Linked DNA regions of Lonchura striata. The protein of the gene in region 2 purifies or fractionates together with the protein of the main gene of each other region. This does not show direct contact. Links are inferred from orthologs where the notes say so. Each region holds a gene or a part of one and is shown on either strand. Other genes may lie near its edges.

Evidence for each region. The genes of interacting proteins can lie anywhere in the genome.
Region 1: the proteins of MGRN1 (region 2) and ANKRD46 purify together in Homo sapiens (co-immunoprecipitation; 3 studies listed by BioGRID and IntAct, counting the BioPlex papers as one, with this or other methods). This does not show direct contact. The link is inferred for Lonchura striata from reciprocal best matches to the Homo sapiens genes MGRN1 and ANKRD46.

The regions. Positions count from the first base shown.
Region 1 is NC_134603.1:21,600,547-21,608,047, forward strand, and holds the start of ANKRD46 (ankyrin repeat domain-containing protein 46), read left to right. Parts: upstream 1-4,489; 5' UTR 4,490-4,543; intron 4,544-7,501.
Region 2 is NC_134618.1:4,077,391-4,085,218, forward strand, and holds the start of MGRN1 (E3 ubiquitin-protein ligase MGRN1), read left to right. Parts: upstream 1-4,820; 5' UTR 4,821-4,898; coding exon 4,899-4,986; intron 4,987-7,828. UniProt on the Homo sapiens protein: E3 ubiquitin-protein ligase. Mediates monoubiquitination at multiple sites of TSG101 in the presence of UBE2D1, but not of UBE2G1, nor UBE2H. Plays a role in the regulation of endosome-to-lysosome trafficking.

The DNA.
Region 1 (7,501 bases), on a different chromosome or scaffold from region 2:
TTTTCTAAAATATCTGGCCTTTTTACAAGGCCATAGTTTGAAACTTGATGAAACTTGTTTCTAGTTCAATCTCTCTCTCAACAATGTCATCTTTATTTCATGGCCTTCCTAAGTCAGCACACCTTACCTCAGTGTTTGCATACAGATGTACAAGACTGTGTGAACTTTCTGCAAGATTTTGAGAATTCCTTACAAATACATTTCTCACAGTAAGTGGACTCACCTCTGCCTGATTTTTCTGTCCTCACTCTCCCATTGTGCAGCTGGTCCTGCAAATATTGTCTGCATTTTCTGTTGGTGCTACTTCTGCCCTCTTGCAGAGAAGATGTAGAGAAGCCACAGTAGACTAAAAGAAACCCAAATGTCAAGCCACATAGGGTTTTTCCTCCTTATGTATTATTGATAATGAAAGTTCCACAGAGCTCAAGTCTGCTCTTGTCAGAAGCCTTTATAGAGCATCCTACAAGACTGGTGTTTTCACTAAAGGGCAGGATGTGTAGATATTTCCTAGAAAAACAAGAGAACTCTATTAGCCTGGAAAAAAAACACAAATCCTATAAAATTATGTATTTGTGATGCTCATGAGTAATGTTAACTCAGAGAACACAGTGCTCACTGTACAACAGAATTTGAGGATTTAGTAGTAAAGATCTGGAATAACACGGCAGACGCCTTGCATTAGGAAATAAATGCATGACAGTAGTAAACAGTCTGTTTTATTACCTTTTTACATTTCTTTGAACCTTAAGAAACTCATCATAAATTCACATGCTGGAATATGAGAGTGGTTATATCTAATTCTAAATGAGCAGTTAAATGGGACATAAGAGAAAATTTTAAAGCAGTTAAGTTACATTAATAGGTATTGAGCACTTCTTCCTTATTCATGCTAATGATTAGTGAAGCTTCTGACTTTCTGTTTTCGAATATTACATTATGTGAGGGGAGGTCTGTTGAGATAATTTATAAAATATTTTTACCCTATTTTTCTTTCATGATTGTGATGATGAAGCTCTGTCTGGTAAGTTTTACATGGTGCTTAACTTAGCCCCCCCTTGGATTTTTGTTGTTGTTGGCTGCAGTGACTGAATCTGAAATCTGAACAAGGCTTGCATGATCCTGCTAAAGTTAAAAGACCCATCTGGTCTGATAAATTCCCTTGAGCGCTCTCCCCCTACATGTTAGAAAGTCTGGTAGTGGGGAACAAAGTCTGCCGAGAGAGTGGTGTAGGGGTAAGACTTTCACATATGAAATATCCCTATGAGTTTACAAGTCACATAGCAACTTTACCACACGGGAACTATTGGGTGTGTATTCTAGGTAGGCATTAAATCAGATGGCCATACGTACATGAAACAGTTCTTAATTTACAGATCACATGCTGAGTTTAACATAGGACAGGAAGCTCTCTTGTTACACTTATAACCAATGTCTCTAGCTTACTTTCCTTTATATCATTATGTGTTTCTTTTCTTAATGGCCAGTAACTTAAGTTTGACCACAGTGTTATTAAGCAAGCTGTAAATCAGGGTTGTGTCTTCATGATCATAAATGTGAAGAGGCTTTTGGATCCTCATTGATTGGCTGATGTCCAGTTTCCCATGTGGGTGGGTGTGTGGGTGAGTCAGGTGCTGCGTACCCGCCCCAGACCCCTGTCCTCAGCCCTGGCTAGCTCTCCTGGGGGGCGAGTAGGGCGAGTGGAAGCACCCTCCGCTGTACCCAGCTGGGCTTTGGAGAGTGCTTGGTGGGTCCTGAGGTCGCTGCTGAATCCAACGGAGAGGAAATGAGGAGAGGCACTTGTTGGGGGCAAAAATCCGATGTTTATTGAGGTCCTGAGGATCCAACAGCATCGGAGGGGGCCAGCCAACAAGAGCAACTGAGGGGTGCTGGCAACATGTTAGATAGGGAGAGGGAGGGGGACCGATCAGACAGTGGGGAAACATATGGAAGTGGCTCTTGTGAGGATTGACATGTGGGGGATCCAGTGAAGGGGAGACAGGGTAGGGGTCCCAGGCCCTCATCCAATCACTCGGTGCCCTGGATGGAAGTTTCCAGAGGTAGGGGAAGGGGCACCGAGTGACAGACAAGGCACTTAGGAGGGGGCAGGGGACTGACTTGGCACCTTCCAGGGAAACCGACACTTGGGGAAAGGCGGGAAAACTCAGGGAGAAACCAATACAGTATGGGGGTACACTGGAACAAACCATGACAGAATAAAGGTGTAATAAAACATATGAAACCGCAACTCCACAGGCAGGATCCAGGCCTGTGACTGGGATAGGCTCAGGCCACATCAGGACAGTGAATGGTCTTTGCTGTTGACTGGAGCATTGCAGTTATTTAGCTTTTTTTGGTCTATTAATTGGCATAGAGATATTAGTGTTCTTCTGAATGTTTTAAAATGAAGGTCCTGTTACTACTGGACTTACTAAGGAGCTCAGGCTTACTTAGTGAGAGAGTAACTTTACAGTCTGTGCCTATTTTATTTATTATTCCCTTCCTCTCTTCATTCTGCTTTGAAAGATATCTCTGAGTACGCAGTTGGCAGTTACTACATCTCAAAAGTATCTTGCAGTGCAGTTCCAGGTGGAATTATTTTTGCTTTGTATTGTGATATGATCAGATACACAGGAGAATAGAAAAGTTTTTCAGTTGATTACATTTCTATGTATCTTTGATAATCCTCACAAATACATCAAGTCCAAAGGTAACCCACATTCAACTGCCAAAAAATGCTTAGATGCTCACAGGCCTAAAAAGGTATGTTTAGATGTTCTGCTGAATAATGTTATCAGCTTAGAATTAAATGTTTACAGATTTGGGCCTTTAGACTTACTTTTTTTAAAAGTAAGCAGAAAACTAGTGATCTTTGAAGAGTGACATGCTTTTCTTGCTGTACATTGACATTTTACACACCTTGTCTGGTGATCTGTTCCAGAAAAGCAGCAGTCCTGGAAGTTTCCATCCCTGTGTCCCTTAACATCTATCATGCTTAGCTGTGTTTTGAGTGAAGGCTATCCTAGAAGACCATAATCTCAGGGAGTAGAGATGTTCTGTACAGAGCAGAGCTTAGACTGTTCTGTAAGCTTAGACTCAGAGAAGTGAGGAAGATAACTAGCTTGTCACCTTACTTTACTCCAGAATCTGTATTGTTTTTCTTCTCTAACAGCACATTGCTAGCCAGCAATAACTGATACATGAAAGTAGTTGAGCTATTTCAGTAGATTTCACCAAATGTTTCTGTGTTTTTTTCTTTTCCTAGTGGTGAAAAAGTGGCAGAACTGAACTTGAAGGAGTTGTACTGTAAACTTGGAGTCAGAAAGTGGTGAACAAGAAGCTTAAGTGAAACTACTAAGATGCATGAAAACTACTATAAGCAGAGAAATAAATCCCCTGAATAACTTAGTTATGAAGCCTTTAAACTTCAACAGCTTGACTGGTTTTTTTTCATTTTTTTTTCCTGAGGCCAATTTTAAATTGGAATTGACTGGTTTCTGTGGTGTTGCATGTTTTAAATATTAGCACTGTAGTACCCCTGAAGGGTCCTTTATTGTAGCTAGCTATTTATTCCCTCTCTCTTTAAGAAACTATAAAGAGGTGTTTTGTGGCTCCTTGCCTTCTAATATTTATACTTGCATGATGCAGTGGTCACAAAAAAAAAATACACCCATAAACAATATAGAAGAGAACTTTGAGTTCTGAGTTGCAAGCTACCCCTCTGGGCAGAGGTGGATTACTTTTTATCTGAAGTGCTTATTTCTATACACTAATATGCATAATACCTGAGGCTATAGCTTGAGCATTTCTTTTAGTAAGTGGCCAGGCTTAAACAGCAGAGCACTATTCCCCTTTCATTTGCTTGTTCCTTGGACTACTAGTCCATGATGCTGGTGGGAGTGGTGAACTGGACTGGTGAGCTAACCTGGTCTAAAAATACTGTCTCTTTATTTTTGATTTGGCTTTGATGGCCTGTTTTTGGCCTGAGTCAGTCCCCTGGTTCTGTTTGCTGTGCTGCAAATGGTAATGCTCACTTGTGGGTGAGGATAAACCCTGGGGATGGGAGCCTGGTGCCAAGGTCCCATTTGTCAGAGTGCCCTGTGGGGGCAGTTAGTATAGCAGGGCCGGTCTAATGGCTCCCTACTGCAGTTGTGTTCATGTCTACTTCTCTCTACAGAGAAACAGAAAACAAAGAAATCTCTTTTTGCTTGCTTAGTGAATTATATTGATTGCAGCAGATGAATGAATGGAGTGGAAGGGGAAGAACAGACCATGTCTTTTGGTGGCAGCAAGGAAAGGTGCACAGAAACCTGTTTTTTGATGCTGGTAACTTGTCTGGTTTAAATCTACTGCATTGGAGCTCAGCCTCTACATATCTTTCTGTTTCCCTCTATGTGCCTTTACAAACTGCAGTACTAGCTGTCCAGCAAAAGAGCTGCATGCTTCTCAGCTGTGGCAAACTGTCTGAGGAGATAATTCTCCATCCAGCACTGCTCCAAGCCCAGGAGAGGAAATGGGGCTGTCTGGGCACAAGACCCAGCGGAGGGTGAGTAATACGTCCGTACTGGCCATGTAGCCTGCACTGCTCCAGTTGTAAGGTTGTGGAGATTTACCCAGGTTGCTTAAATCAGAGGGCTCAGGCCAGCTGTGCCCCTGGCACATGGGTAACTGAGTGTTCAATTTGCTTTGCTCCTGCACAGAGCTCAGCCTGATGCAGCTCCACAGCGGTTGGTTGCAGCATGGCAGTGGCTGCTCTAGGAGCCTTACCACCTACTGTGCAGAGAAACCCAGAGTTGTTTAAGAAAAGGAGGAAAAAGTCTTAGTTCTACGTTGTAACAATGTTTGGTACCACCAAAACCAGTGGAGAGATTGGATAATCTGACCCCAGTTTATTTCCATTTTGCTACAATGTGTAAAGAATGAGTACAAAATGCACTTCAAGATTACATCTGTGCTTTGGTTTGGTGTTTTTTAATCTGGTTAAGTAATGAAATATTTCTGGATTGCACTTCCATTTTATTTAGCTAAAAAAATCCAAACAGCCATTCAACAGAATAATTTCTTCATGTTTTATTACTTTTTTTCCCTTGGCTTTTAAAAGTTTTATGGATCCTTCTTTCAATACACAGCTGATGGATTGTAGAATTTCACTGAAATTGTTACATACATAGGTAAAACTGAAAGGACTTTTTGTAATCTTAAAGATTACCTTTCCACAATAATTTAATGTTTTATATTAATTCTTGACATATTTATAAATGGTTCTTGTTGGCATTGATTTGTGCCACTTTTCTAAGTGCTGGATATAGTTGTTGTTGATAGGGGTCATGTTGGTGTTTTGGGGTTTTTCTCCTTCACACCGTTGTATTAGCGATTCTAACTCACCTATGGCTTATGCATGGGAAAAATATTTCACAAAAAGGACACATTTAGGTACCTATCCACTGTATTTTCAAAGTGATGTATGTATCCTAATGTTCCTAATATGTAGGCACTCTGTCATCATATAGGAGCATGTAGGTGATCTGTAGGTTTGTTGAGTTGTACATCTACACACAGCTTTGGAAATGATTAACTCATGAGGAAAGAACAGTGTAGGGTGAACTTGTCTTAAAATCAAAAGCTTTGTTTAAAAACCAAAATAAGCTTTCTATTTCTATGTGTTTCTGTATGTTTGCTGATTTTTTTTCTGCTATTTTTAAGAATTATTTTAAGGCAGTCCAGGAAGTTAAGAGGAACTGGGTTAAAACAACAGACAAGCAGATGCAGGAACTTCAATTTCTACAAAAAATGTAAACAAAGCAAAGGTAAAACAGTATTTTAAAAAACAATCAAACCAGATCAAAGATGTGGGGTTTTTAAAGAAATGAAACTAGGGGCTATGACTTCAAAAACAGAGTGTGGTTTTGTGGAGTCATTTGAGCTAGAGACCCAGGTCTCCCATCTCCTGGTCAGATACCGAACCACCAAATAGAAAAGGAGATTCCTATCTCTGTTAATATGTTTTTAAAATCCCAACACAATGAGCTGTATCTCAAGGCCTATCAAGAAACATTTGATTGAATGCTATTCTTCTCTGCAAAACTCAGGTGCAAAAGTTTGTCATTCAGTTTAGGCAACCAGATGAAAACTCAGACTGCTGGGTCTGTTGTTCAAAGTATCTCTTACTTGTTAGTTTTAGCTCTTACTATTATCATATCTGGTAATCATTCAAAAGACCTATCTCATCATATCCTGTTAAAAAAAAAAAATCAAGTTTCTTACTCTGTACTATAAGCACTATTCTCTGTATCAAGCACTGACCTATTGTGTGAACCTGTGTTCTTCCAGAAGAAAGTTTAAACATTTGTCTTATAGCCCCTCCCCCCCCCCCCTTTTTTTTTTTCTCTCCAGATCACTAGACCTACTTGCCTTTACAGCAAATCTCATTAGTTCTGTCCTTTGGTGCAGTTCCCAATGCAGAGTTGAGAAATGCAGTTCTATGGTATATACAGCTTGATGTTTGATCATTGTATTTGTGATTATCCAGAAGAAAGCTGCTCAGCTGACATCCAGATTGCCAATGATGAGATTAGCTACTGCATGACATTGCCTACTTAACCAAATTAGAAGTCAGCTTCAAAATCAACAGGTTAAGAATTTGGCAGGTTACTTTTCTTGTGAATACTTCACTGACTTTGTGTCTACATTCACTTCTTCTTCATGAAAAATAAGCTTAGAAGGTCTGGGGAGAAGGGGATGGTGTGTTTTAAATCTTTTCCACTTGCCCATATTCTCCTCCAAACCAATTCTGAAACATATTCTCTTGGCAGCCTTTACAGCAGTGAAACATTTCACTGTACTCTGCTGTTTTCTCCCTTTCTTAGCATTCCATGTCATGCTTTTCCTGCCCTTTTCCTTTATTTTTGGAGGTAGAGTTGTCAGAGTTTTGTGTGGGAGCAAAATAACTGCTTTAGCCAGCTTTATGCTTGCAAAGACTCCCCCTTCCTACCTCCCACTTGCTCCCCTCCCACAGAGAAAGTGTTCTAGTAAAGATTTCAGCTGTTTTATTTGTATACTGTATAAAATGAACCTAATTGACTGATTCTGATTTAAGTCTACTCCCTCTGTTCATTGGCTGGAGGGTTTTTGTTTGGTTTTTCTGTTTGTTTTTCTAGAGTATACTAAGGATGCCAAAGAAGACACATTGGAGCTCTGATTTGAGTACAGGCACATGACTCAGGCACATGAAACTGGATCATTTTGTACACAAAACAGGTTATTTCTCAATCCTTTCAGGAAAGGATCAGAATAAAATGTAATCTTACAGGGTTAGTCATGCTGAGGCTGGGCCGTAAGGAACTGCAGCTGGTTTGTTGCACTATAAAGATATTAAGAACAGGGTAAAATTAACTGAGTCAGGAAAATGATGGTTCAGTAGTTAGGAACTGTAATTTTCTTCTGGAAAAGGAATAGAAGAGTCAAGTATGTAATTTTGAAAAAAAATCAGAAAGTTCTCTGGTTT
Region 2 (7,828 bases):
GGCCGGCCAACCGCCGCCCGCGGCTTGGTAGTACCTGACCGTATATGGTCAACAACGGCGCGGCGCCCAATGGGAGGGCGGCGGGGGCGGGCCGCGGGCGGGGCGGGGCCGGGGCGGGCCCGCGCGGTCACGTGGGCGCGGGCGGTGTTTACGGCCGGCCGCGTGCGGTTTCCTGTTGACGTGAGGGAGCGGCGGGGCCGCGCTGGGCCCGGGGCAGCGGCGCCGCTGCCCTCCGGCACCGAGACCCCCTGCAGGCCCCGCCGCCCCCCTCCTGCAGCGTGCGGAGCTCTGGCGGAGACCCCTTGGCTTGTAGCTGCCGTGCGGCTCCGCGGCCCGAGAGGCGGGGGAGCAGCAGCAGCCCCTTGGCCCCCGCGCCCTCCAGCCGCGCTTATAAACTATGGGCGGGTCGCCCACCCCCTCCTGGTCCCGGATTTCCCTCAGCCGCAGCGTGTCCGTGCATCGCTGAGGCGGCTGGTGGGAGCTGAAGGGAGAGGTGGCGGCGAGGGAAGGTTCTGGAAGGTGCCGGGGGCTCAGATGAAGCAAACAGTGTCACAGCAGGTAAAAGCTCGCAGCCAGGCGGGCGCTGCAGGGCCCGGCAGAGCGGACAGTGCTGTAGCTAAGGGTAAGCAGACACACACACACCGTTCAGTGCCAGGGTAATAACACCAGGGAAAAGATGAAGGGAACTGCCGGCTCCAGCCGCCTCCACCTTTCCTGAGAGGAGGTTCTGGGCTGTTTCCTGCAGTTTGGAGAGGCTGAGCCTGGCTGCGAGTGGATTGTTCAGTAACACCTCTGACCCTGGCTGGCATTTTGCTGGTGTTTCTGAGCCTTGAGGAGTAAATGCCTGAAGCTCAGGCAGGTGATGCACTTGATGAGTGGGGTTTGCAACCTCAGCTGCCTGGACAGGAATTGCTCCGGTAGTGTCCAAAGCTACTCAGGATTTTCCACGTGTTCTTTAGTAACCATTATAGAGTTGCACAACCATTCAGCCTGTCCAAGCCTTGGAGGATTTCAGGGCCAAGGGGATTTCCTTCTTGTTCTGTGTGTCTCACTGCCTAAATCCAAGTGAGAGCACAGCTGTACGTGGCGGTGGGACCTATCAAGAGGTGACTGCTCTTTTCTTACAAGGTCAAGACAACCCCCAGGGAGAGGTGGCACAGGCACGTTTGTAGCCATCATGGGGTAAATACACCAGGAAAAACAAATCTGCTGAATGATTATTTTAATCAGAAGGAGTCAGGCATGTTTAGAAACCTTGGAGTTTGGTGTTTGGAGGGAGAAGGGTTGGGCCTGGCCCGGCAGGGCTTTAGAGAAGGGTCATAAGCCCTGTATAGCAGGGCAGTGTTTAGGGAGGCAAAGTTCATGGGCACAGCACTCCTTCTGGTGAGCTGTAATTCCATGTGGTGTCTCCAGGGCTCCCAGACCTTGTTGTTCTACACATACCTGACAAACACAGCGAGTGGCAGTGGGAACAACAGAGACAAAGCACTGGGTAATAAACCCCAAGCAGCTGGACTTTGGATGGGCTGCTCTGGTGACCGGGAGCTTTGCAGGGAAACATATTTCCTTGTTTACATGGGTGTGCTCATAGCTGCCTCCCCAGCAGACACATCCAAGGAGACTCCTGAAGGGCAGCTAGGGAAATGTGGCAATGGGAGGGTGGGTGTCCCTCTGGCCCATCTGACTCTTCCAGGCTGCAGCTTTGTGGATTCTTCTTCCTGGGGTTCAAAGGATCCCTCATCTTTTCCTGGATGGGATTTGCTGAGCTGGAAGGCAGTGCAGGAGCTGAGGTCTCCTCACCACCCCTGGGGCTCTGCAGGCTCCTGGTGGCAGGAGCCATGGCCCAATTTCACCCTGGTCCTTCCCAGTTTGACCACCCTCACCCCACACCATGATGGCACTCAGGGTCTCAGGTCCCTTGAACCTTGTGAAAGTGTTTCATCCTTTCTCACAGAGGACTTCCCATCCTCGTGGCTTTCTTCCCTCATGCTGCAAGCAGCCGCTGGGGCTGGCAGCACCAAAATGGGGGCAAACACATCTCAGGGAACCCAGAGGTGAAGGCGCAAAACCCACTCGGGTGGCACCACCAGGGTGTGTGGGGCTATTGCTGCTCCTCCAGCCCATGGGACCCACCTGAGGAGCTGTGGGACCCTGGCGTGGGCTGGCAGGGCAGCCCTGCTCCCTGCCCCAAGCCAGCCACTCTCCTCGCCCATGCTGCTGGCAGTGGTCCTTGATGGGCTGGAGGAGGCCGTGGTGCAATGTCCTGCCTTTGTGTGTGCCAGCACCTTCGTCCCACAGGCTGGGCGGGGGCAGAGGAGCTGCTGCCCTTCAGCTCCGCTCACTCGGGATTTGGGGCGGAAGGGCTGAGCCCGGCCCTGGCACGCCGCTGCTGTTGTCGCTGTGTCGCGGAGCAGGGCCTGGGAGGGATGGATTCTCCAGAAAAAGCCCCTGCCCTCCCACATGGCAGCAACCCCCACGGGGCCCGATGGCTTCCTCTGAGCGCTCCGGAGAGCGGGGCGGCCGGGAGGGACCTTCCCGCTGGTGGAGGTTTTGCACAAACAAAAGATCTCCTGCTGCAGCTTCCCGGGCAGAGCCAACACCCTGCGGCTGTGGGACCTGGCTCTCCCCTGCTTAACCCACGTGGCACCGAGCTCCTGGTGAGCAGCGGGGGCAGCTGCTCAGGGAATGTGGCTTTGCAGCGAGATCATCTTTAAGGTCCCTTCCAACCCAAGCCATTCTAGAATCCCATGATTCTGTCCCAAAAAAAGCTCAGGGAACAGCTCTGGGGCAGCTGCCTCTGGATGCTTCTTTGAGCTGGAGAAGAGCAGGATGCTTTCGGTGCTCAGGCTGTGGGAGGAAAGGAAGAGGGACTCTCATCTTCTGTCCATATGCAAATTCCCCTCCTTGCTTGCTTCATGGTGCAAACACTACTCTCCTTTGGCCCCCAGGCCGTGGCCAGCTGGCCACCAGTTCTCAGGATAGAAGAGGGAGATGGACCCAGTGATCCTTGCAGTGCCCAGTCTGCTCCAGGACTGAGCCCCAAACTGGCTGGTGGGCTGCAGAGTGAGGCCTTGGGGGTTGTGGATTCACCCTGCTCAGTTTGGGGCTACTGGTGGCACATGAGCTGTTCACATCACCCCGCTGCTGCCAGGGCACTGCCCAGAGCTTGTTCCTATGGCTGTGCAGGCAGGGAGCCCTGGACACGCTCTGGGCCAGCACACGTGTCCCTGTGATGGTCAGCAGACTCCATCCCTGTCCCTGTGATAGTCAACAGACTCCATCTCTCCCTGGTCTTGCTGTGAGAAACCCTTGCACGGAGAGGCTGCTTGGCACTGGCACTGGCACTCCAGGTGCCAGGAGGATCCTGGGGGACACAGCAGAAAGTTCCCAGGCACAGTTACTGCCAGGGCACAGCCAGAGCCTGGGGCTCCCTCGTGCCAGGCGCAGGGTACCCAACTCTCGTGGTTGGCCAGCAAGACTTGTTGCTCATTCCATATTTTTTCCCTGTCCTCCTTCCCAGCCCTGCTGCACAATGAGATGCTGAAGAGCAAGGTCTGCTCCTGCTCTGTCCTCACCCCCAGCATGTGTTCCCCTGCATCCCATGCCTCTTGCAGCCTCTCTGGCTGTGTTCATGTGGCCACAACAGCTGCAAGGATAATAACTGTCCGGAAGCACGTTTCACCTCGGGATTGTTTGCTCATTCCTGCTGGGCGTGTTTTAGTTTGTGTTTACAGCCAGCAAATTCCACCCACTGCCTGCTCACTTGCTATCACAAAATCCTTCTGTGCTGTCAGGCTCTGCTCACTGCTCCATCCCATTTCCCTAAATCCCAGCCCTCTTCCTTGCTCCCAAGGCTAATTTAAGGGGTTTCACATGCGCCACATCAGCTCCTTTATGTCTCCCAGTGATTCCCAGCTCCACTGCTGGGAATTTGGGTCCCCAGTTCCTTTGTGGCATTATGGGCAGGGAGGTACTTCCCATCACAGGGAGCGATTTTTCTCTGTTCCTTGGTGCAGAGGGGACAGGGCTCAGTCCTGGGACATTGATGGCTTTTTCATGCCTCTTGCTCCATGCCATGTTCCTCCCTACTCTTTTGTCCCACATGCAAGGCAGCCCACAGCCATTCCCTCTCCTCGCATTCAAACCTCAGGCATCTCTATTTCCTTTCATTTCCATGTCCTTCTCCCTGGGAGGTTGATCACCTCCTTTCCTGCTGGCTTTGAGCCTCAGCCAGTAGCAGATCCCACATCTGGGAAGTACCCTTGATAATTCTCCCTGGGCATCCTTGTGTGTGGTGTGTCCCTGGACAGCCCTGGGTATCCCTGTGCAGGCTCTGTCTCTCTGGGCATCTTCCCTGTGCTTCCCTGCGCCAGATGTGTCCCTGGGAATCCCCCCTGCGCATCCCTGTGCAGAGCATGACCTTGGGCTTTGTCCCTCTGCATCCCTGTGCAAGGTGTGACCATCCTCCCTGTGCTTCCCGGTACAGGATGTGTCCTCGGCCATCCTCCCTGTGCATCCCTGCCTGAGCTCCCAAGGGCTTCTCCATCTGAGGTGCCCCTGGTGATCTCCATGCCCGGGTCCCTCCTATGCAGAGTGCCCCATGCCCATCCTTGTTCCTCTCCCTGTCCCAATTCCCACTCCATCCCTGTTCCCGCCGCAGCGCCTTCTGCCGGCGGAGCTCACGGCCCCCCCCCCCCACCGCCATTGGTAAATGCCGCTGCCTCCCCGCCCCGCCGGTGGTAGGCGCCGCCGCGGTGTCTGCCGGGAGCTGTAGTCCCGGGGCGGGAGGACTCGCTGTCCCGGCGTGCCCCGCGCCGCCGCCGTGGGTGCGGGTCCCGGTGCCGGTGCCGCCGCCGCCGCTCTGCGCCCCCGGGCCGCCCGCCCTGTCCGCGGCCGCCATGGGCTCCCTGCTCAGCCGGCGCATCGCGGGAGTGGAGGACATCGACATCCAGGCCAACTCGGCCTACCGCTACCCGCCCAAGTCCGGTGAGGGCCGCGGGGACCGGGGAGAGGGACGGGCCGTGCCGGGCCCGGTGTCCCCCGGGCCGAGCGGGGAGGCCGAGGAAGGAGTGCGGGAGCGCCCGTCACCGGCCTGGGCTGGCTCCGGCTGTGCCGCGGCCCAGCCCGCCCCGCTGGCAGGGCGGCCGTGTGTGGATGGATGTCCGTGGGCACGGCGGTGGCACCGGGCCGGGGCTCGGGGGCTCGGGCGTGAGGGCGTCTCCGTGCCCTGCATGCCGGGCTCGGCTGTCCCGCCCGCCGGCGCCGCCCGTGCTGCCGGGGGTCACTGAGGGACCACAGGGACCGCTCCCGCCGTGGAAATGCGGCCGCAGCGAGCTCTTGGTCGCTGGCCTGTGGCTGCTAAAGGGCAGGTGACAGCAGAGTTCGGTGGGGACACGGAACAGGATTGGGTCTGGCTGAATATAGGATGGCCAAATTCCCGCATGACAACTCCCTTTAACTCCTTAAAATGGCAGTGGCGCTCACCTAGGAGCTGTTGGGCTGACACAGCCTACTGAGTGTCTGTTTTCCACAGAGAATTGTCCTGAAGGCTTGGAGATCTGTCGGTGCCGCTTGTGGACAGTTGGGATGAGCCCATGACTCACCTTGTCTTGGGCTGGCTTTTGAGATTGACCAGGTTTAACTTGTTTAAAGAGTTTTACTTATTCTTCTCAGAAAGCAAGTGTTCAGAGAAATTCAGAGAAATATCCATTTGCTTACAATTTTTTCTAGGTTTCAGTTCTCTTAGGGCTTTTCCAGGCAGGCTGAATAATTTGCAGAGCAGCAGTTTGGGTCCCCTCACTCTCAGATACAAAGACTTTTCATTCAGAGATTCAAGTCCTGTGTGTGTCCATGACCTGCTGGCTGTGACATCCTCAGAGGGGGCCAGGACCCTTGTTGGAGGGGGTGCAGGATCATGTCAAATAGAGTCCTGTCATCATTACACCTCATCTTGTTGCAGGTTGGCCTTCAGCAGGAATGGTGGTGTGGAGGAAGCCTGTCTAGAAAAGTCCAACAGCTGTGTTAGCTCTCTTAGAAAATATGACCTGCTTTTTTAGGGGGTTAGGAGCTAGTTTTTGTGGGCAGCCAAAGAATAAGTCAGAATGCCTGAATTAGGGTCAGCTTCTCAAGGTTGTTTATTTTCTCTTGTCTAAAACCTGCTTTCTCAAGGAGAAAGCAGATTATAGATAAGAAGATCAGTCTGCAACACACTCCCACCCCCTTGGGCTGGTGTCACCATTTTACACAAAAAACTACCTGTACTGTGTTTACGATAATGTGCCAATATCTATTATTTATGTTGGACAGTGTATTTCTACCTTAAGCCAATAAAGTGTCACCATCACAGCAAGACATGGAGGGCAAGAAGGAGAAGGTCAAAGACATGACCAAATTCCTCTAGTTTGCCCCTTTGAATCCCTTATTTTAAAACCTTAAAATTCTACTTTTTCGCCCTGTGTTAATCCAACTACCATACTACTCAAACTCTTGTGGCTTGTAATTCCTCATACAAAACTGGCAGTTTTTTCCATGGGCTAAAATTGAAGCCACAGCTGTTTTTGACTTTGTGCCAAGGTCTCTGAGCCCCCTGCCAGGGTCTGGAGACAGCCAGGGCAGCCAGAGGGATGTGCTGGGTTCCCACAGTTAATGGTGTGTTGGGTTTTGGGCTTGTCGGGGTAACCCCATCACACACCCAAGGTTGGGTTTGTGTGTTGCCATGCTCCCTGGAAGGGGATCTGTGGACTGTAATGCTACCAAAGAGTGTTCTCTGTGTGATACCTCCCTTGTAGAACTGAACAGCCAATGCTTTCAAGCAGCTAGTTAAATAAAAATATTTGTATTTCCTACAGAGGCTCTAGATTAATTTTCTGTGGTATTTTATTGTGTTCTTTTTGACATCTAGTGTTAATCCAGGGCTTTCTCTTCACATTCTTTGGGTTTATCTAACAAAGATCCTCTTGACTTTGGGGAGAGAGAAGAGCTATTCAAGCTCTAGGCAGAGAAGAGGTGGTGAACACCTGTGAGGTGGAGGTTCAAAGCCCAGAACAGTGAGGGCTGTTAGGATGGCAGCTCCCCTCCTTCATGTGGAGCGTTCAGAGGGACAGTGTCCTTCGAGGTCCTGCCATCTCCAGGATGATTGTCTTGGAGATGGGAAGTTTGGTACCAAACCTGGCAGTGAGGATGACTGGAAGTGAGTGAGTAGGGTTTGGATTTCAGGAAGCAAGCTGGAAGTAGTACAAAACGTGCTTGGGCTAAATGTTTGCTAATTATTTCTGACTGGGCACTGCTGCTGTGAGCCCTGTCTGGAAGAAGCTGGTTTTCCATGGGCTGTGTTGGGTGTGTGTGCTGGAGACTGAGCCTGACACACACTCCTGGCTCTGAGATTACCCCTGAAAGGCTGGCATGAGTGCTGAGGGAGCATGACCTGAGGTCACCCATCCTGGGTGCAGCACTGAGGGCTGTCCTCCTTTTCCATGCTATCCCTCCTTGTCTCTGGTTTCAGCAGATCTTGGCTTACCACAAATGTCTGCTCAGCTGCTGTCCATGGTTGGCATCAGTTGGAAGGATGAGGGTTTGTGTTTGATGAGGGAGCAAATACCCTCCCCCAAAGATGCACTGTGCAAGGAAATAAACCCTAAATACAGGGATTCTGGCTGTGATTTTAGCTGCATGTCAGCCTGCCTGTGGAGAGGGACACGGTGGCTGTGCCTTGTTTAGTCACAGCTGGTTGCAAAGGCAGAGGTGAATATTCACTTCTCCTCTATTGGCTTTTGATGTGGTTGTGGCTGGGTCAGTCGCGAGCCCTGGGGAGGATGGAGCAGATTGCTGT